Linked DNA regions of Arabidopsis thaliana. The protein of the gene in region 1 purifies or fractionates together with the protein of each later gene. This does not show direct contact. Each region holds a gene or a part of one and is shown in the gene's direction. Other genes may lie near its edges.

Region 1 (5,079 bases):
TTTGTTGAAAATTTACCTGCAATTTGTTTAATCTCAGATACTGTTAGGTCTCTGGTCTCGGAACCATCATATTTTTGAAGGGTCGAGAAGATAATCCTTGAAATATTCAAATTAAGACCCATGCCAATCGCATCGCTGGCAACAAGCACATCAAAGTCATTGGTCTCATCGTTAAACCTTGTTGCCTGCAGATTTTAAAGCATTTGGAAACAAAAAAAGATAATTCTTAGAGCATCCAGTTAAGCCTATAGCCAAGACAGTAAGGAACTCAAACCTGTGCCGTGCGAGTCTCTGGAGGCAACGAACCATAAACCACAGAGCAAAGATGCTTCCCCGCACGTTCAATTGTTTTCTACGAAAAGGTACCAAAAAAAAGAGTAAAGAATATGTATGGAAGCATTCAATACTCATGACGCGTAGAGAATAGAGCTATGTATGCATATAATATGATGCCAAAATGTTCTATTTCTTTCGCAGCAAACTCAAGCAGAAAAAAGCAAAATACAGGAAGAGAGAACAAGATAAGTAACTGCTAACCTTATACGCATATATATCTTTTCGGGAAAAAGTGACAAGACAATCCCCAGTTTTAATACTGGAAACTGATGAAACAGGAACCTTCAAAGGGACTAATGGTGAAAGCCTCTCATAGGTATGAACCTGAATTCAAAATAAAAGGGATCAAGAGGTCGTGATTACATCAAGAGTATTGGTATTTAATTATAAACAAGAAATAATTAGAGAAGAAAAAGGGACTCTAGCTCGAATAAACATGATACCTCGACATCATCTCCAGTTACTTTCAGTATATCTTCAACAAGAGGTACGACAGCTGGATCGCCACATAAATGTAGCTCATCAGCCGCGATTCCAAGTAAAGCACGAGTAAATGCAAATCCCCTTTGTTTACATCCCACCATCTGAAATTAGGGAAAGAAAGGATGAGAATAACAAACAAAAAGTTCTTGTCGATTTCTTAAGCCAAAGTCGAGCAAGACTAGCCTGAATTTCGTCAATGATGGCACAATCGTAGACAGATGTAACATCAGCCATTTCAACTGTCACAGCTTTGTGTGTTGCCCCTTCCACTAAGTCTTTCTCTTGTCCCGTGATCAAATCACATGGAACATTTGCTTTGTTTAACCGTTTAGCTACCTCCCATGCCAACAATCTTAACGGACCACAATATACACCTTCAAGTGAAAGAAGCAAATTTTAAACAGTTCAAGAACTGGCTTCCAAAAGGTTTATTAGTCACCTTCAAGGCATACCTGAAGAACTCTGTTCAAGGTGCTTAAGGGCACTATATGTCTTCCCGCTGTTTGTCGGGCCAACATGTAGAATGACCTTACGCTTCTTCTTCCGAGCTATAGGATACCATGTATGAGGACAGCTAGAATTCAAAGTAATGACAGAAATATAAATCAGTTCCTCTTTACTAATCTCTCCACAACAACAATGGAACTGCAAAGAGAATCGCAATTAGTTGCTACTGGGGAGCTAACAAAAAAATTCTACAAGAAGTTTTACTCTTACGTGAGATCAGTGAAATCGAACTTTGAGGTGGTTCCAGTGCCAGTGAAATCAAACTTTGGAGATCCAGAGTTCTTTCTATAATTCCTAGTCAAGACACCTAATCTCAAAAGGTCACCAAACTCAGGTTCAAAGTGAAACCGCCACAAACTTCCTTTATCAGCTGAAACATTAGGCAACACGAAGCCATCATAAGATACAACGTTAAACCAATCCAATCTTCTTCTAGACACTACACAGAAACAGATGTAGAAGCTGCAAAGCTCATAAAGGTTCAAACTTTCTGTATCCAGATGATCAAAATTTCTGATAGTTCCTTTCTAAGATCACTTACAAACTACAATCCGCAATTTCTAACCAAAAGAGAACCAGAAAACAGAGAAAAAAAGGGTTTAAAAGCTCCAACCTTGAAGAACACGAGAAATCCCCAAAGCTGAAACCTTTCGAAGCCGAACAACAGAATACGCCATGTTTAGATTGTTTTATCTATTGAAATGAAGACACAACACTTTCTTATCCTTTATTCACCATGGGAAATACAATTCGAGTATACTCACGACGACACCTTTCATTTGCTTTGAAGGAAGCTCAAAGTTACAGAAATCAAACTCTTGAAATCGAGGACGAGATAAACAATAAAGAGAAATTAAAACCAAATTCTCTTTTATAATTAGAAACTGAAGAAACCATCTCAGACTTCCATTGTTAGACCTTATTCTTCTCAGAGGGTCGGCGACTCAGCAAGAAGCGGGAGAGAGAAGAAAACGAGAGGTTCCTTTTTAATTTACAAATTAACCCCTAAGCTTTTCCTATTACTCTCTCTTACACCCTCCTACTTTAAAAAATAGAAATGTCCCCATAACGTTAATATGTCTAAAATACCCCTGACTATATTCTAGAACTACCAAATCAACCCGTCTTGTTCGCCAAGTCGCTTTGATCTAAAAAGCTCTTAAACTATTCTTCCAGCGACCGGAAGAAACGAATAATCGGAATCGAAAAATTCGAAAAAGGAACTGAGAAGAAACAGATCTGAAGATGGAGTGTGTATTTGGTCTAGTTGGGAATGGATTCGCTATCGTGGCGGCGGATACATCAGCAGTTCACAGTATTCTTCTTCACAAGAACAAAGAGGACAAGATCATGACTCTTGACTCTCACAAGCTCGTCGCCGCTAGTGGTGAGCCTGGTGACCGGTAAAAAAACTTCTCCGTCTCTCTCTCTGTCTGTGATTCAGTAGTAGTAGTACATGAATTTGATTTCTGTTTTTTTTTGGATTTACTTTAGGGTTCAGTTTACGGAGTATGTTCAGAAGAATGTGTCACTGTATCAGTTTCGTAATGGGATTCCTTTGAGTACTGCTGCTGCTGCTAACTTCACTCGTGGAGAACTTGCCACTGCTTTGAGAAAGGTTCTAACTTTTCTTCTACGGTTTTTTATTTTTTTATTTCAGAAGTTTCTCTGCCTTATTTTAGATTTGGGGAATTAGGGTTTTAATCTCTTTGAGGTACATATACTTTTATGAAATAGTGAGATTGTGGGGTATCATCAGATCAGCGATTGGTGCTTAGTGCTTATTCTTGGTTTTTTAGTTTCCTCTTTTGATGCAATGTAGTTGAACTTGTCTTTCTTCTTTAGTTAAACATGTCAATTTTTTTGAAGCTTTCCTCTGTCATACTATGGTTTTGATTGTGTTAAGATGTTTGATGCTTAATACTTGTTGATAAGTTTATATAAGCCTTTGTGTTTCACTTCCTCTTGTATGGTGGTGTAAAACCATTGTTGATACAGGTAGTTCTAATACTTGTTAATATTCATTACCTCAGAGTAGCTAAATGCCATTAGAAACTTTACCTAATGTGTTCATTATGTAGACATAGTGTGGCCTTTAGAAATATTCAAGGTATTTCAGACTATTCTACACATTGTTGCAGTTTTATGTCCTTGGATGTTACAGAAGATTATCTTTGAGTTGGACGAAGTTATGAAATTTAGAATTATGATGCAGAAAAGATGAAACTCGGATTACAGCTTAATAGTTTTCTTATGCCAAGCTTGATAAGTAATATTATTTCATTAACTAAGAATTTACAAGACTAGGAATTTTGTGCTACCTTCCAAGGTTACTCTGACTTCTGTGTCTTGATGGTGAAAATCTGATACTCAAGGCTAACTGATGTGTGATCATTTTTACCGGTTTAGGGTAGATCTTCCAACTTTGGACAGTGTTGAGTGGGGTTTATACCCATGTAGCCTTAGCTATAGATTGTTAAATGATCTGATTGATTCCCTGGATTTTTTTGGGTTGTTTAGGACTGGTCTGCATATTCGCACTTGACATTTTGAGATTTCCCATTGTTGTCTGTTCTATTTGATTCCAGAATCCATATTCGGTGAACATCCTGATGGCTGGCTATGACAAAGAAGCCGGCGCATCTCTATACTACATTGACTACATTGCAACCCTCCACAAGGTTGATAAGGGAGCATTTGGATACGGCTCATACTTCTCTCTCTCTACAATGGACAGACACTACCGCAGCGACATGTCTGTTGAAGAAGCCATTGAATTGGTGGACAAATGCATACTCGAGATCAGGTCAAGGCTGGTCATTGCACCACCAAACTTTGTTATCAAGATTGTTGACAAGGACGGAGCCCGTGAGTACGGATGGCGTATCAGCACTGCTGATGCCTAAGTTGTTTTCATTGTGTTTATTAGTCCATTTATGTTACTCGGCTCACATTTATATTCTCTGTTGAACTTCAAGCTCCCTGGATATTAAAGTTCCTAGATAATGATGATGATATGCATGTGTTGAACTTTTTCTTTCCTTATTGCGTATATGAAGCAAAAGATAGTGCAATGTAAACCTAAACATCTTCTTCTACTATATCATCTCTATTCTCTGCGTTTCTACATAGGGAAGACTTTAACACAAGCCCAATGGTAAAATCTTAAGTATCAATGAAGTAAACATAAGCAGTAAAAAGCACAGAGAGCTTAAAACAGTTCAGATACGAGCGAGAATAGAAGTGGCAAAAGTCATGATGATAGTCGATGGAAACCAGAAGTTTCTGATCTTGAGAGAGTCGCTTGAGAAGTATTGTAGAACTGGTAGTGGTGGTGGTGGTGGTGGTGGTGCTAGGGTGGCTGTTTCCGGTGAGAATAGATCGGAGCTTGGTGAAACTTCCGGTGCTAAGTCGACTGATTGAGGAGAGGCAGAAACATTATTACCTGCAGAATATGAATGAATGAAGCAAGTTACATGTCAACGAAACTTAAAACAGAATCCACCGGAATAATCCGTTTCTTACCGGAAACAAACGGATTTGTGAACTGAATACTCTGAAGCGGAGGAAGCTCCGGCGACTCTGCACCACAGATCAAAACCATAGAAATCACACATCTGAGATTCGAATTCAATCGATTCAATTACATAGGAGGATTCGAAATTAACCTGATACCGAACAGAGAGATTCGAAAGATTCTTCGGAATTCTGATCGGTACAGATCTGAGAAAGAGAAATCAATCTAGATCTATC
Region 2 (5,537 bases), on another chromosome or scaffold:
GACAAGTCATTGATCTTCGTTCGTGATTTCATCCGACCTTTTGATTACCAAAGTTCCTGAATTTTTTTATTACTAAACTGGGTTAAGGTATGTGTTTCGGTTTAAATTTCTTACATATACAAATGTGAAATTAAGTTTGTAACCGAAATTCTGTTTCTCATTCAAAAGACGTGATTGCATAAATTATCATCATTTATTTGCTTTGCAAACAAGAAATATTAATTTTGTGGGGATAGATTCATGTTAATGTGGGAAGACAGAGAAATATCGACGTCAAATCCTTAGACCCATATGTCTCAATAACTTCCAAAACGTTATTCAATTCCGATATAAAATTGGGACCATAAACTGATCATAGAATCATTCATCTCTATATATAAACACAAAAAGGTTCAACAAAAGATAATTCTATATAACCAAAGAAAAAAAACTCTCTTCCAAAAATGGCAATTAGGGTTTCCCACAAGTCTTTCCTCGTCGCACTTCTTCTCATACTCTTCATTTCCTCTCCTACTCAAGGTAAATTTATAGCTAATATATATATACACACAAGCGCGCTCACCTCACGAGTTTCTAGCTATATCAAGTATAATTTGAATGAATCTTCTTCTTGTTTTTTGGTTGAATATCAAAATATATTACCCAATAATGAGTTCTTGATATATAAACATTTTGATTTTTTAGCACGAAGCTTACGAGAAGTAGTAAGGAATAGAACGCTATTGGTTGTGGAGAAGAGTCAAGAGAGTCGGAAAATAAGGCACGAAGGTGGAGGAAGTGATGTTGATGGATTGATGGATATGGATTATAATTCTGCGAACAAGAAAAGACCGATACACAATCGCTAATAAACACACATGAACTTATCGAATTCTTGTGAGATATCCTGAGATCCAAAGATATCCCGAGATTTTATCTTTTACTAAACATAAATTATAAGAAGTGAGAATGTATTTTATATAAGAAAAGAAGTGAGAATGTAAACTATTATTATTTATAGGAACATATAAATATAAACGACTTTGTATGCATGTGTACAGTATTATCTCGAGGGAAAACAGTTCTATACAATAATCATAGCTTGTGTGTGCTAGCTTTATGTATGGATTGCATCATGGTTTTCTGTTTGTGAAATAAAACTCTATAATATATTATGTGTATATAGAAACCCACAAATATCTTCTTTAACTCTGTTGTAGTATTAGTTCCAATAAAATAAAATTACACCTCAAAAGAGTATTTGCTGATTTTATATATCGAATTCAAACCTACGGAAGCTCCCATCCCATGAAGGTGTTGTGGATATTTGATATCAAAATATGCATATACCAAAATACAATCAAATAGATTATAATTTAAAGTAATAGGACTTTGGAAAAACTAGGCAACATACCAAATAATATATGGGATCAAAGTTTTCGACAAATATCGATTGGTTTTCAGTCTCCAAACTTCTTTCATTTAGAAGGATAGAACTTAAATTCATTAGTGTCTTAATTTTGTAGTTCCACAAACAATAATCCTTGTCTTAACATATAAATTAGTCTTATAAGTCAGTAAAATCATGGTGAAATTTCTCTACTGCAAGTGGAAGGATTCAAAAGAAAGAAAAATAAATCCGAGCAATTGATGGATTTTCTGTTACTGTTAGAGAGTTGCCGAGGCTCGAGCGATAATGGGCCTTAAAAAACTTACTCAAATGGGCCATATGGACCTTAGATTTTCATTTATTACAAATGGATCCTATAGTTTCGTTCATAACATATTACCCAACAGCTATTTGGGTATGACCCTACAGGCGACAGGTAGGTTTATTCAATATTTACCTAATAGACCCAATAGATACTTTTATTACATATGTACACCAAAAGTCTTACACTATTTCGTTAAAAGTCCCAATAAATAAAACGTTATAATTAGGCCCAAATAGTCTGAGCTAAGCTTTTCTTGTTCAAGGGGTTGGGGTTTCGACGCTAACATTCTCTCTCTCAGTGAACCTTTAGAAGTTAAATCTGTTTCATCACCGGAAAGTTTCACTAACTCTTCTTCTCTCTCTCGGAGTATTGATTCCCGGCGTTTAGCAATGGCAAGTCTCCGATTTCACAGATCTGATTTTCAACTCTCTCTCTCTCTTTTCTCTTCCGTTCGAATTTTGGTTTGTCAAATTCGATGTCGTGATTTGATTGCAGGAAGAAAGTAGACAACTCGAATCGTCGATTGATCGGCTGCTGAACGAAGAGAAACAGATGAGGCTCGCAGAAAATGTCGCCGGAACTAGAAAAGCAGCTACCGAGATTCTTAAGCTTTGTTTCGAAGCTAAGGATTGGAAACTTCTCAACGAACAGATTTTGAATCTCTCGAAGAAACGTGGTCAGCTTAAGCAGGTCACACTACTTTCTATCGATTTAGCTTTTGAAACCTGCTTGTGGTAGTTTAAGGTTTTCGATTACTTGGAACGGTTTCTACTGAGTTCTGAATCTTACTGAGAAATTGAATGAAGAACTGAGTGAGATATTGAAAGTGGTTAGGTCTCTTGATTTGCAGGCTGTACAATCCATGGTGCAACAAGCAATGCAGTATATTGATCAGACACTAGACATAGAAACTCGGATTGAGCTTATTAAGACTCTAAACAATGTAGCTGCTGGAAAGGTGCGGATTAGAGTTGGCTATTGTTGTTGTTGTTGTAGTTATATTTGCTTGAATCTTGATCACTCCGTGCAAGTTTTTTTCTTGATGAATATGTGTGTGTGAGCATGTGTAGATATATGTCGAAATCGAGAGAGCTCGTTTGACCAAGATGCTTGCTAAGATTAAGGAAGAACAAGGTTTGATTGCTGAAGCTGCGGATCTCATGCAAGAAGTTGCTGTAAGCTTTTCTTCCTCTACTTTCCAACTTTCGTGGAAATCGTTTTTTATTTATTTTATAGTTTATCAATGTGCATTGATTGTGATTATGAATTATAGGTGGAGACATTTGGTGCTATGGCAAAAACTGAGAAAATTGCTTTCATTCTTGAACAAGTAAGACTTTCTGTTATCTTTTCATATTTCTTAAGCTTTGTGCTTTGTGCTTTGTTCTTGTTTGTATGTTGTGATTCTAATTATTGGTGTGTAAACTTCTGAAGGTCCGCTTGTGTTTGGATCAAAAAGATTTTGTCCGTGCACAAATTTTATCTAGGAAGATCAACCCAAGAGTGTTTGATGCAGATACCACGAAGGAGAAAAAGAAGCCTAAGGAAGGTGAAAACATGGTAGAGGAGGCTCCGGCTGATATACCTACATTGTTGGTGCTAAAACGGATTTACTATGAGCTAATGATTCGGTAAGTCCTTGATTTGGTTTAATACATTCTTCGCCAGTTATTGGTGTCAAAATATTTGAATATTATTCTCCTCTGAATTTTGATTTCCCTTTACTTCTGTGATCTTTATAGTAAAAATATAATGTGCTGATTCTGTTGTGTAGGTATTATTCTCACAACAATGAGTACATTGAGATATGCCGTAGCTACAAGGCGATATATGATATCCCTTCTGTAAAGGAAAACCCAGAACAATGGATTCCAGTAAGTCTCGTATTGTTGTTTGGATGATCTTGTGGTAGTCTACGTTCTGTAATTAGCTTGGATTAACTTTTCTCCCTTGATCCTCTAAATATAGGTCCTGAGAAAGATTTGCTGGTTTTTGGCCTTGGCACCACATGATCCAATGCAATCGAGCCTACTCAATGCAACCTTGGAAGATAAAAAGTTATCAGAGATTCCTGATTTCAAGTAATTCTCTTTATCTTGATAAAAATTTGGGTTTTCACTACTCTTCCCCTCGTTCCCATCTGAAACAGATTCTCAATCCCTATGTTTATATTCTGTTGCAGGATGCTTCTAAAACAGATTGTTACAATGGAGGTGATTCAGTGGACATCTCTCTGGAATAAATACAAGGACGAGTTTGAGAATGAGAAAAACATGATTGGAGGCTCTTTGGGTGACAAAGCTGGTGAAGATCTCAAACTAAGAATAATCGAACACGTAAAGACTCTTTGAGCTCTAATCTATCTTTACCTCTTTGATTGCATCAATTGTTACTGAAGAGTCTTAACTTTACAAATTCTTCACATCTTCTGCAGAATATTCTCGTTGTCTCAAAGTACTACTCAAGGATTACCTTTAAGAGACTTGCAGAACTTTTATGCCTAACCACTGAGGTAAATATAGTTTCAAAATACTCTTAAGTGTACCAGTACATGTTTAAATCTCTTCTTACCGTTTCATTATATTTCAGGAAGCAGAGAAGCATCTATCTGAAATGGTTGTGTCCAAAGCCTTGATAGCAAAAATCGACAGACCATCAGGAATAATCTGCTTCCAGATTGTTAAAGACAGCAACGAAATCCTCAACTCGTGGGCAACAAACTTGGAGAAGCTTTTGGATCTTGTTGAAAAGAGTTGTCACCAAATTCACAAAGAAACAATGGTTCATAAAGTTGCACTAAGAGCTTGAGAACCCGGTCTAGCCACACACATCGGTGGAAAGAATCTTTCAGGCTCTCGTTCTAACATAATCATTTGAGTTTTCTTTCTCTGCTTGGTTCGAACACATTTTTTTTGTGTTCTTTAGGAGACCTTGCAAGATTATATACAAAACTCTCTTTTTTTTCCTTTCTCCATGTGGTCTTTTTAATGTTTGTTACAATGAAACGAAATTATAATGCAAAAATATAATAAATTAAGAAAAAAAGCATGAGAGGATGAAAGCAGAACAATACAAACAACCTAAACCCTATAATATTTGGAAAAATAACTCTATAACATATAATCATTTTCCTGTTTTCTATTACTCTATAGTGAAACAAATAAAATGAAGCAAGTCATCAGGAGGATGGACTATTATTGTAGTTATTACTAGTCTTGTCTGATGGCCATTGTATATCCTGGAGATAACCGGTTTCGCTAGCTGATTCTGGTGGCGGCTGAACAGCAGCCGGGGAAAACAGAGGACGAGAATGAGATGATGATGACGACGTAGATTGCATCATTGAACCTCCAGTGTGACCGAAACGCAACGGAAACGACATTTGATCGTATAAATCCAAAGATTGTTGATGATGTTGCTGAAACTGTTGTTGTTGACGAGCCATTTCAGAGTAACTCAAGTTGTATGATTGCATCAACGGCTGCGAATGAACGCTTTGATTCGAAGCAGGTCTTATGGGCAAAAGGGTAGTCGTTGAACCCGAGTTCCTTGACTGGGTCGGTCTTTGAGCAGCGGTTTGGTGCACAGGTTGTGCTTCGGTTGAAGCAGGTCTAACGAGTTTGACGTTTTCAGGGAAGTTGAGTTTGGCTTTGTTGCCTCTAAACCGAAGTGCAGCTTCGTCGTAAGCTCTTGCTGCTGATTCAGCATTGTCGAACGTACCGAGCCAAACTCTAGCTGCTTTAAATGGATCTCGAATCTCAGCCGCCCACTTTCCCCATGGTCTTTGTCTAACTCCTCTGTATCTTCGCCGAGGTTGGTCCCCACTAAACGACGACGTTTCGC
Region 3 (6,253 bases), on another chromosome or scaffold:
GATACCTGGGAACCTACAGAGGAAGGCCTTCAAACGTATGTGGTCACTAGACTTTAGTATCAAGTTTATTGTTTTAAGTGTACCGGAACACATGTAACCATGTTGTATTCTTAATTTTGTTACTTTGACCTGTTATTTATTAAAACTCATCTTTTTCTCCTGAAGAATTGAGACCACGAGGCATGTGTCGATGATAACCATAACACTTTCCAAGGAGCAGTTGAACACATCCTCAGTTGGGTGAGTTTCTAGGACTGGTTGTTTTGCTATTTCTCGTCTATTCTCTTATTGGGGATTTTGTTGTTTTGTGTCTAGAGAGGTACATTGTCTCCAATGCTAATATATCTTATTAAATAATGCTATAGGTACCAGTGTCCGATTCCTATTGAGATGGTGAAGCCATTGGCTGAGATTGACTACGAAGGGCAAGGTATTTTAGAGTCTCACTCTTAATGACGTTTTTAAGCTCCCTGCCCTGCTGTCTTTTTTAAGTTTTTAAATTATCTCTTTCTTGTAGACGGATCTCCTAGAGGCAGAGGAGGAAGAAGAGGTAGAGGAGGAAGAGGAAGGGGAAGGGGAAGAGGTGGTAGAGGTAGGATTACTTTAGAAATTGTTTATACAGTGTCGTAGTTTCGTTGTAAGCTTTTGCATGTGATTTGTGGATAAGCGTTTGAGTGGACTGTGCTAATTCCTTTTTTCGACTTATCAGGAAATGGACCTGCGAATGTTGAGTATGATGATGGAGGAAGGGGAAGAGGTGGCAGAGGTAGGATATCTTTAGCCAAATCGTATTTGAGTATAGATTTTTGCATATGATTTGTGGATAAGGGTTTGAATGTGTTGTGCTATTTCTTTTTTTGTTTGATTTACCAGGAAACGGATATGTGAACAATGAGTATGATGATGGAGGAAGGGGAAGAGGCGGCAGAGGTAGAATTGCTTTAGAATATTTCTTTCCAAATCTTAGTTTTACCTTTTAACATATTTGCATGTGATCGGCGGACAAGTGTTTGATTGGCTTGTGCTATTTCTTCTTTCGGATTTGCCAGGAAGTGGATATGTGAACAATGAGTATAATGATGGAGGTATGGAGCAGGACCGGTCATATGGCAGAGGACGCGGGCGTGGGAGAGGAGGTGGACGTGGTGGTCGAGGAAGAGGAGGTTACAATGGCCCCCCACCACCTTACTATGAAGCTCAACAAGATGGAGGAGACTATGGATACAACAATGTTGCTCCTCCAGCAGACCATGGATATGATGGTCCTCCGCCTCAGGGACGTGGTACGTTGATGATTTTGTTACACTAATGTTTTCTCATTAAATAATGATGAGTTGTAAATGTTTAAAAATTGTTGGAACAGGACGTGGCCGTGGAAGGGGAGGTCGTGGAAGAGGAGGAGGCCGTGGTGGATTCAACAGATCAAATGGAGCACCTATCCAGGCTGCTGCATGAGCGACCAGGGTCATTGAATGAAGTTGGATCTTTCTTACATTCTCATGTTTTTGTCTCTGTTCTTCAAAGCAACTTGTTGCCGTAGAATAATCTTTCGTTCATGTCGCTTTAGGTTATATATATCCTCATTTATTTTATCATGGATCTTGGATTTTCAAGTTTTTATTCCTTCAAGAGTTTTCTAGTTTTGTCTCTTTTTTGAGTTTTGGATATTTGTTTGACTCCAATTACATTCGTCGGCGTATTGACACTAACAAGTAAACAACCCCCTTTGGCATTGCCTTTTTCCATTGGTTCGTATATCAGTTGATTATATATTCTAACAACATAAAAAGATAACAAGAAAAAATAATGAATAATAAAATTGTAATTCCAAGTTCCAACGTGTTTTGAGACAAAAAGAAATTAACCCAACTTGCGCTGGTTGTGTTTTGGGCTATTCGAAGAAAGCGTACGAAAATAAGTGAGAGAGGTCCAAACAAAACTAGTAACCAAAAAGTTAATCGCCGTTGCCGGGGATCGAACCCGGGCCACCCGCGTGACAGGCGGGAATACTTACCACTATACTACAACGACATTTGTTGCTCAATCGTAATGTAGAAGATATAAATACTAATATGGAAAAAAGCTGTCTTGAACAAAAAGAAATATACTTTTTTTGTTGTGTCCAAAAAAAGGAAAATACTTAGGAAAGAAAAGAGTCTCAGCAGCATCAGCTCGTCCTTAAATCTGATCCATCATCGTCACTTTCTCCCGGCGAATTCCGTTTTATCGATTTAGTAAGCTCTCTGTCTTTATCTCTCCGTCTTTCTCAGTCAACAAATTGGTTGAAACTTCAATCGGTTCCTTGAAATCTCACCGGCTTAGTTGCATACTTCTGCAAAAACCCTAACCTTGTTTTTGTCTTTGTGAAGAGTAACGAGATTTGTGCAAAGATGACTCAGGACGTGGAGATGAAAGATAACAACACCCCTTCTCAATCGATTATCTCTTCTTCTACCTCTACTATGCAGAGTAAATCTCGATCTGAATGCTTTAATTCTCGAACTGTTTTCATAATTGCTAAGTTTCTTCTGGGTTTTGACGCTTTGTTTCTTTGTTTCCCAGATTTGAAGGAGATTGCAGCACTCATCGATACTGGGTCTTACACGAAGGAGGTTCGTCGTATTGCTCGTGCTGTGCGTCTCACTATAGGGCTTAGGCAGAAACTCACCGGCTCTGTGCTCTCTTCCTTCCTGGATTTTGCTTTGGTTCCAGGATCCGAAGCTCACTCTCGCCTCTCTTCCTTTGTTCCTAAGGTATTTGTGGGTTTTACTTCTTCACTTTGATGTTTCAGAATTCTCAACTTGGTTGTTCCTTTTAGCATCTGGCTTTAGGTTGTTTAGATTCGTGTTATGGTTGTTATACTTTCTTTTGATGTTGTGAATGGCAAGTTATCTAACATACAACTGGCTTAGAGACTGAAATATTGGAACTTTTAATGGTTTAGGGTGATGAACATGACATGGAAGTTGATACTGCCTCATCGGCCACACAAGCTGCTCCTTCTAAGCATCTACCTGCAGAGCTCGAGATCTACTGCTACTTCATTGTTCTTCTTTTTCTGATTGATCAGAAGAAGTACAACGAGGTAACTACTGCTGTATCTTTGTGTTTTGTCATAAGTTACTTTTCTGTTGTGATTTTAATTTTAATGAGTTGCTTTTAATCATCTCTTAGGCTAAAGCTTGTTCTTCAGCAAGCATTGCTCGTCTCAAGAACGTCAACCGAAGGACCATTGATGTGATAGCATCAAGACTCTACTTTTACTATTCTTTGAGTTATGAGCAAACCGGTGATCTTGCTGAAATTCGCGGGTTAGTAGCTCAAAGACTGTTTTAGTTTTGTACTTTGTCTTACACCTCATATTAATCAGTAGCTCAATAGTTAATAATCTGGTCATTTTTTCTACCTGCAGTACTCTTCTTGCGTTGCATCATTCTGCAACGCTAAGACACGATGAGCTGGGTCAGGTATGTCTTTGTTTAGCTCATTCAGTCGGCATTCATTATTTTGAAACTGTTACTTGCTTCTTATTCAAATTTATCATGTTGAATGCAGGAAACCCTTCTGAACCTGTTGCTACGTAACTATTTGCATTACAACCTCTATGATCAGGCAGAGAAGCTAAGATCAAAGGCACCTCGCTTTGAGGCTCATTCAAACCAACAGGTAGCTCTTGGCTATTCCTTCATACTCTAAGTTTTCTCGGTTCTCTAGATTCTATATTTGCATGAAAACTCCAATGCCACTTCTGCAATCTTTCCAGAGAATTATTTTTTCTATTCGCTATAGCATTTTCCATCTAGGAGGCTCTTGTGTTTTCTTTTCAATCACTAATTATTTGCCGAACTTACTTGAAGTGTCCATTTTGCCTGTCCTTTTCATACTTCTGACACCACCTCTTACCATTACCATCGATCTACCTTGTGTTTTTCTTTGCTACATATGAATTTTGTTCTTTTTTTAACCCTTCAATTGTTACTGTTTCAAAAGAATAAACAGCAAGATGACTTGTCTAAAACATTATACTTTGCAGTTTTGTAGGTACCTTTTCTATCTCGGGAAGATTCGTACTATTCAGCTCGAATATACGGACGCAAAAGAGAGCCTTCTTCAGGCGGCCAGGAAAGCCCCTATAGCAGCTTTGGGCTTCAGGATCCAATGCAATAAATGGGCAATTCTGGTTCGTCTACTGCTGGGTGAGATACCAGAGCGTTCTATCTTCACTCAAAAGGGTATGGAGAAGGCCCTCAGACCCTACTTCGAGCTAACAAATGTGAGTCCACTTTCATAATCTTGCTGCTGTGACATGTATTCATTAATTTATGAGCGGATAACTAAACTGGTATTAGTATGTGGTCACTTGTGATCTTGCTACTTCACTTCTGATTTTAAACCGGTTCCTACTTTTCACTTACTGGCCTATACACCTCTTCTGTTAAAATCTCTCTGTGGTCACTTGAAACACAATTTTGTTGCTGCTGTTGTTTTCTGCTCCTTCGAATTATATTGAACATGAATTTCTGGCTGTTTACTGTTGCTTTTTAGAGATATATGATGCAACTGGATAGTTGATACTGATTTTGATCTGAGGCTTACTATTAAAGCTCTGTTTTGATTTTACAGGCGGTTAGGATTGGGGACTTGGAGTTGTTTAGGACAGTCCAGGAGAAGTTCTTGGACACATTTGCTCAAGACAGAACGCACAATCTCATCGTGCGACTCCGCCACAATGTCATCAGGACTGGACTGCGGAACATAAGTATCTCCTACTCAAGAATCTCTTTACCCGATGTTGCCAAAAAGCTGAGGCTCAACTCTGAAAACCCTGTGGCTGATGCGGAAAGCATCGTGGCAAAGGCCATACGCGACGGAGCTATTGATGCTACAATCGATCACAAAAACGGATGCATGGTCTCCAAAGAAACTGGGGACATCTACTCGACGAATGAGCCACAAACTGCGTTCAACTCAAGAATTGCTTTCTGCCTCAACATGCATAACGAAGCTGTCAGAGCATTGAGGTTTCCTCCTAACACTCACAAGGAGAAAGAAAGCGATGAGAAGAGGAGAGAGAGGAAGCAACAGGAAGAAGAGCTTGCTAAGCATATGGCTGAGGAAGACGATGATGATTTTTAGACAAAGGTCATCTATTTCTTATAAGAGTTGACTCTCCATCTGTCTCACTTTTTTTATGTTCACAAGTTTACTTGGTACTCTTCTCATCGTCTCTAAGTGTTTCTTTATTGAGGATTTTTATCCTCAGGAACCTTTTTATTACTCTGGTTTCACTTTAGGAAAAGATATTTATCTTGTTGGTTTCAGAAGATCAAATTCAACTTCGTTTAATTGTGTTTGGGAGATTTTCGCATTTTAAGAATTGAACACTTGTAGTTATAGCTAGCTGTATTAGGTGGGTCATTATTAGAAATTGACCATGTGAAATGCTATCATCTCCAGGCGATGCATACCATTAAAATCCACATTCATAATTTACATTAAATGATAGATAAGCAGTCATAAATATCTAAAGAATGAAAACAGGACATGTGTATTGACCATTATGTGTATTGATACATTAGTCTATCTCTGCCAAACTAGGTCTCATTTTCTTGAATAAAACAATCTCATGTTATGCTTTTAATTATAGGTGTTTCTGGTTCGATTCATTAACTTCTTAATAATGACAAAAATCTGTAGAATAATACCCGGGCTCTTTGATAGCTACAACTGCCAACTATTTAATCCATACAATCAAAATGTAATTTTCATAATTGTAGATTTGTAATGGGTCAATATATTCTTACACTCTAATCATATCCAAACAAGCTCCTCAATTCCTTAATCTTGTTGTATCCAGTATCCATATTTTGTTTTCTTACTGCGGAAGTTACTTGGTAGTGTAGTCTGGATTTCGGATTGCAGACTTTGCAGTCCACGATTTTTCATATGTTGGTGACAACGAACAAGTGTTAAGTTGACGGAAGTGTTCGTAACAAACGACGTCGTGACGGTGATCTTCATCAACTTTGATTGGAAATCAAGTTTTGAGGGACAATTAACCCAAAAAAATAATCATAATGATAATGAAAGAGATTTGGCGTGTTGCTAATAATGTAGGACAAGTGAGCATGTGAGAGTCTGTGACCGATGAACCTGCTCAGACCAACCTGCACATGATTGTATCACAAACAAAAAACTCTCATTTGTCTTTCTTTCGTCTTACTTTATTCATTTTAAGCAAAAATTAAATATC
Region 4 (3,451 bases), 3.4 Mb from region 1:
TGGCACTGTGGCCATCACTCTCGCCGGTACCCTCGAGGACTCGTCCCCTACCGCGACCACGACCGCGACCACGACCACGAACTCCAGCTCCTCTAACCATCTGCGCTACTCAAAAACAAATGGCTAAGAAACTAAAACAAACGAATATATCACAAACAACTTACCGTGGAATCTCATTTAAGGCTTGGAGAAGATGATGCTAGAACTCCAACAACACACAATTGACTAAACACTCCATAATCAATCCTCAATATGCTAACACCCTAGCTCATCCCACATCAATCAACAGGAAAATAATTCATCAATTAATTTTTCTACACATCTTAGAACCGTAATCGCTCTGATACCAAATTGAAACAACCCGACCCATTTTTTTTAAAAAAAATAATTAAATATTTCCATAAATATCTAATTAAACCAACCAATAGAATAACAATTAAACCACAAGTCAAAAATACTATTTAATGAATAAATAAATAATTCGACCAACAAAACCAAGAATAACTAACAATCCTAACCGGGTTCCAATAACCAAAAACACCAAAAATAAAACAAACGAGTTCCTAGATCATCCTCTCTTCCTTGCCATGATTCCACGATCACACTTTATCTTTACCTGTATCAACAACACAATGAGATGCGTAAGTATTATCATAAATACTTAGTGAGGCGATCCTCCCATCTACGAGCTATACACACAAGCAAATAAAAAGGTATAATCACGAATACAATACAAACAAACCAGTCATTGAACAATTCATCCAAAACACATTCACCACACCTACATATCATCACACAAAACAAATCACACAACCCTATCGCTCAGATAAGCTCATGGTCACGCACTCACCTTAACAAATTGATTCTAATAGCAATTAAACCCAGGAGAGACTCTCCTTGCGTCTGAAACAGTCCAGAAACGTCCTACAAAAAGTCCACAACCAAAAGCAACCTTGAAGCAAACTGGACAGGAAAAACCAGAAACAAGCAGTCTCAAAGACGAAACCCTCAAATACAAACTAACCGTTAACTATTCAATCTCTCCGGTGAAATCCTAGCTGCAGACGTCACAAAGCTGACCACAAAATCTCGTGCCGATCGGAAAACAGACGAGACCACGATCTCAGTTTCAATCTCCGCTGGTCCTAATTCGCGTCTGAGAAAACGTGTCTCACGAAACTGCGAATAACTCAACCAATTTGAATCCAAATCCAATTCTGTAAATTGGAGAATAACGATAAAGGACTTGGGAATAACTCTGCCAAATTTCGTTACCTTTTACCACGATTTGATATGACGAAACTGATTTCTCCCAAACCCTAACGATTCTGCTCGTTCTCCTTTTCTCTCTTTTTCTCCTTTATAAAACGAAAAGTGGCTAACCAAAGCCCTAATTTCGAGTTTACTTCTTTTATAGGCATACTCTAAGGTTTCCAATTAACCCAATCAATTAAACCGGATGATTTAAAAACAAACTCTAACTGATTTTCCGGTTCACGGGCGTTACAAAGAGGAAGTTAGAATGATGAAGATGGAAATGAACAAAGAGAGGATGGAAAAGAACAAAGAGAGAAGAAATGAAGATGATAATCGTTTTTTCCTATGGTTGTTCAATCACCATGGCAATTGGAATGTTGTGTCTATAGTAGAAAAAAACTTATTTATCGGTTTTAATTTGGTTTATTTTTGTAATAAATCTTTTCATCTTTGATTCGATATGATGAATCTAATTATGAAGACTAAGTGGGTTCGTATTCTTTTCTTATTACGAGAACATATCAATTACAGTATTGTACGTGGTTTTACAAAGCATAAGGAGATATACAAAAACAAAACAATAAGCATGTTCAAAGTGAATGTTTTGTTCGTCATTAGTATAGCCGGATTAAAAAGTTGCTAACTTGTGCTGTGAGGAGAGTTTTTTTTTTTATATATGTTCACAGGACTAATGACTCGACTTACATTGGGTTGTGATTGTAGTCTTAAGAGGATTTGGAACTAAAGCAGAACCTTAAGCTCTATGTTGAGATGGTTCAGGATCCTAATCCGGACTTGCAGAAGGCTGCTCTTGAGAGTATGAGGTAATTCTTGACTTGATTAGCTTCGGGTTTTCAGATTACTGTCTTTGAAGCTCATAATTTATAAAGTTTTTCTTTCTTTTCTGCTCCTTGTGTTCTACCCTTGTTGGAGTTTTTAATTTTTTTTTGGTTTTGTAGGCAGGAAATCCGAGCTTTAACAAGTTCAATGACTTCAGTTCCCAAACCACTAAAGTTTCTGCGTCCCCAGTATGTAACTCTTAAAGCGTTTCATGAAACAATGGCTGATTCTAATCTCAAGGTATGTCATCATTGATTTCAAGTTATTAACAATTCTTATATTGGTATGGCTTAAAAATTACATTTGCTATGTTTGCAGAAGTACATTTCTGATATCCTGTCTGTCCTGGCCCTTACCACGCTCTACAGATTGCACTATTTCTTGATAACACGAAGGTAGAACTGAGCCTTCTTTAATTCATCTAGTAGTTGTTGTCTGAGTTTGATTTGTTGATTTTGCTTTTGATATGTGATTATTTGATGTCTGCTTTTGATTAGTTGATGTCTGCTTTTGATTATTTGATGTCCGGTTTTGATTATTTGTTGTCTGCTTTTGATTAGTTTATTTGTTTCTCTGTTTAAATGCAATATATTTTTGAGTTGAGATAGCATTACATTAATATTTTAAATGCTTAGAAGAAAGTATTTGTTCTCTATGGTTAAATAAAATTCTAACACCTTTGATCAAAAAAAAAAAAAAAAAAAAAAAAATTCTAACACCTAATACTAACTTGAAGCTTTTAAAAGCTCTCTCTTAGTTATTGCGCTCAAAATTTCTCTGAATTGGTCTAAGCAATAAAAGCTAACTGTTTTTTAACTGTGATAAATGCATGTTAACTAGTGTATTTTGGAGTGGTTTACATTGGGTAAAAGTATTATCATAGTTATGGTCTATTTTATTGAATGCTTGGTAGGTTAAGTGTAAGTAAAAGCTCTATGTGATTTATTGCTCTCTGTGATCAATATCAAAGAGCTTTAACTTAACACCCTACCCTAACTTGAAGCTTCTAAAACCGCATCTATTTAACAACATAACTTCAAGCTGAAAAACACAGTTTAAATCACATAACTTCAAGCTGAAAAATCTTTCTCTTATCTTTTTAACAACCAAACCAAACAAGGTTATGGATTCCTTTAAATCTTTCCCTAATCATCTTTCAAGAGAATCAAACCATTCCACCAATTCAGTTTGAACGTTTTCCACCTAACATAGAACTTGGATCATCTGATGTCCATGTGTTTAGTACATTGGTTTGATGATCAAGAGAAAGATGAAGCGCCAATTGCAGAGAGGAAATCAAGACGCAAATGGTCTCTAATAGAAGATTTGGTCCTGATAACTAGCTGGCTGAACA

The links.
Region 2: the proteins of PBD2 (region 1) and RPN5B fractionate together in Arabidopsis thaliana (co-fractionation; one large-scale study listed by BioGRID). This does not show direct contact.
Region 3: the proteins of PBD2 (region 1) and EMB2719 fractionate together in Arabidopsis thaliana (co-fractionation; one large-scale study listed by BioGRID). This does not show direct contact.
Region 4: the proteins of PBD2 (region 1) and AT4G08140 fractionate together in Arabidopsis thaliana (co-fractionation; one large-scale study listed by BioGRID). This does not show direct contact.

What each region holds. Positions count from the first base shown.
Region 1 is NC_003075.7:8,497,827-8,502,905, forward strand, and holds PBD2 (20S proteasome beta subunit D2), read left to right. Parts: upstream 1-2,439; 5' UTR 2,440-2,571; coding exon 2,572-2,729; intron 2,730-2,820; coding exon 2,821-2,944; intron 2,945-3,633; coding exon 3,634-3,681; intron 3,682-3,914; coding exon 3,915-4,232; 3' UTR 4,233-4,414; downstream 4,415-5,079. Other genes in the region: ATSUV3 (ATP-dependent RNA helicase), read right to left, coding at 17-185, 275-352, 538-660, 780-920, 1,003-1,193, 1,272-1,393, 1,537-1,696, 1,940-2,003; AT4G14805 (Bifunctional inhibitor/lipid-transfer protein/seed storage 2S albumin superfamily protein), read right to left, coding at 4,548-4,771, 4,852-4,908, 4,995-5,079. UniProt on the Arabidopsis thaliana protein: Non-catalytic component of the proteasome, a multicatalytic proteinase complex which is characterized by its ability to cleave peptides with Arg, Phe, Tyr, Leu, and Glu adjacent to the leaving group at neutral or slightly basic pH.
Region 2 is NC_003076.8:25,892,992-25,898,528, reverse strand, and holds RPN5B (regulatory particle non-ATPase subunit 5B), read left to right. Parts: upstream 1-1,942; 5' UTR 1,943-2,083; coding exon 2,084-2,086; coding exon of another isoform or gene 2,087-2,090; exon of another isoform or gene 2,091-2,189; coding exon 2,190-2,384; intron 2,385-2,544; coding exon 2,545-2,652; intron 2,653-2,764; coding exon 2,765-2,869; intron 2,870-2,967; coding exon 2,968-3,024; intron 3,025-3,128; coding exon 3,129-3,325; intron 3,326-3,468; coding exon 3,469-3,568; intron 3,569-3,662; coding exon 3,663-3,775; intron 3,776-3,876; coding exon 3,877-4,030; intron 4,031-4,128; coding exon 4,129-4,206; intron 4,207-4,283; coding exon 4,284-4,502; 3' UTR 4,503-4,749; downstream 4,750-5,537. Other genes in the region: RGF9 (root meristem growth factor), read left to right, coding at 444-519, 685-848; ABR1 (Integrase-type DNA-binding superfamily protein), read right to left, coding at 4,873-5,537. UniProt on the Arabidopsis thaliana protein: Acts as a regulatory subunit of the 26 proteasome which is involved in the ATP-dependent degradation of ubiquitinated proteins. Acts redundantly with RPN5A.
Region 3 is NC_003070.9:7,000,292-7,006,544, reverse strand, and holds EMB2719 (PAM domain (PCI/PINT associated module) protein), read left to right. Parts: upstream 1-2,112; 5' UTR 2,113-2,234; intron 2,235-2,369; 5' UTR 2,370-2,390; coding exon 2,391-2,469; intron 2,470-2,562; coding exon 2,563-2,753; intron 2,754-2,944; coding exon 2,945-3,085; intron 3,086-3,174; coding exon 3,175-3,311; intron 3,312-3,412; coding exon 3,413-3,467; intron 3,468-3,555; coding exon 3,556-3,666; intron 3,667-4,033; coding exon 4,034-4,273; intron 4,274-4,623; coding exon 4,624-5,136; 3' UTR 5,137-5,458; downstream 5,459-6,253. Other genes in the region: AT1G20220 (Alba DNA/RNA-binding protein), read left to right, coding at 1-35, 166-240, 366-430, 518-592, 710-766, 874-930, 1,050-1,283, 1,364-1,455. UniProt on the Arabidopsis thaliana protein: Acts as a regulatory subunit of the 26 proteasome which is involved in the ATP-dependent degradation of ubiquitinated proteins.
Region 4 is NC_003075.7:5,133,645-5,137,095, forward strand, and holds AT4G08140 (26S proteasome non-ATPase regulatory subunit-like protein), read left to right. Parts: upstream 1-2,028; coding exon 2,029-2,081; intron 2,082-2,216; coding exon 2,217-2,337; intron 2,338-2,415; coding exon 2,416-2,496; downstream 2,497-3,451.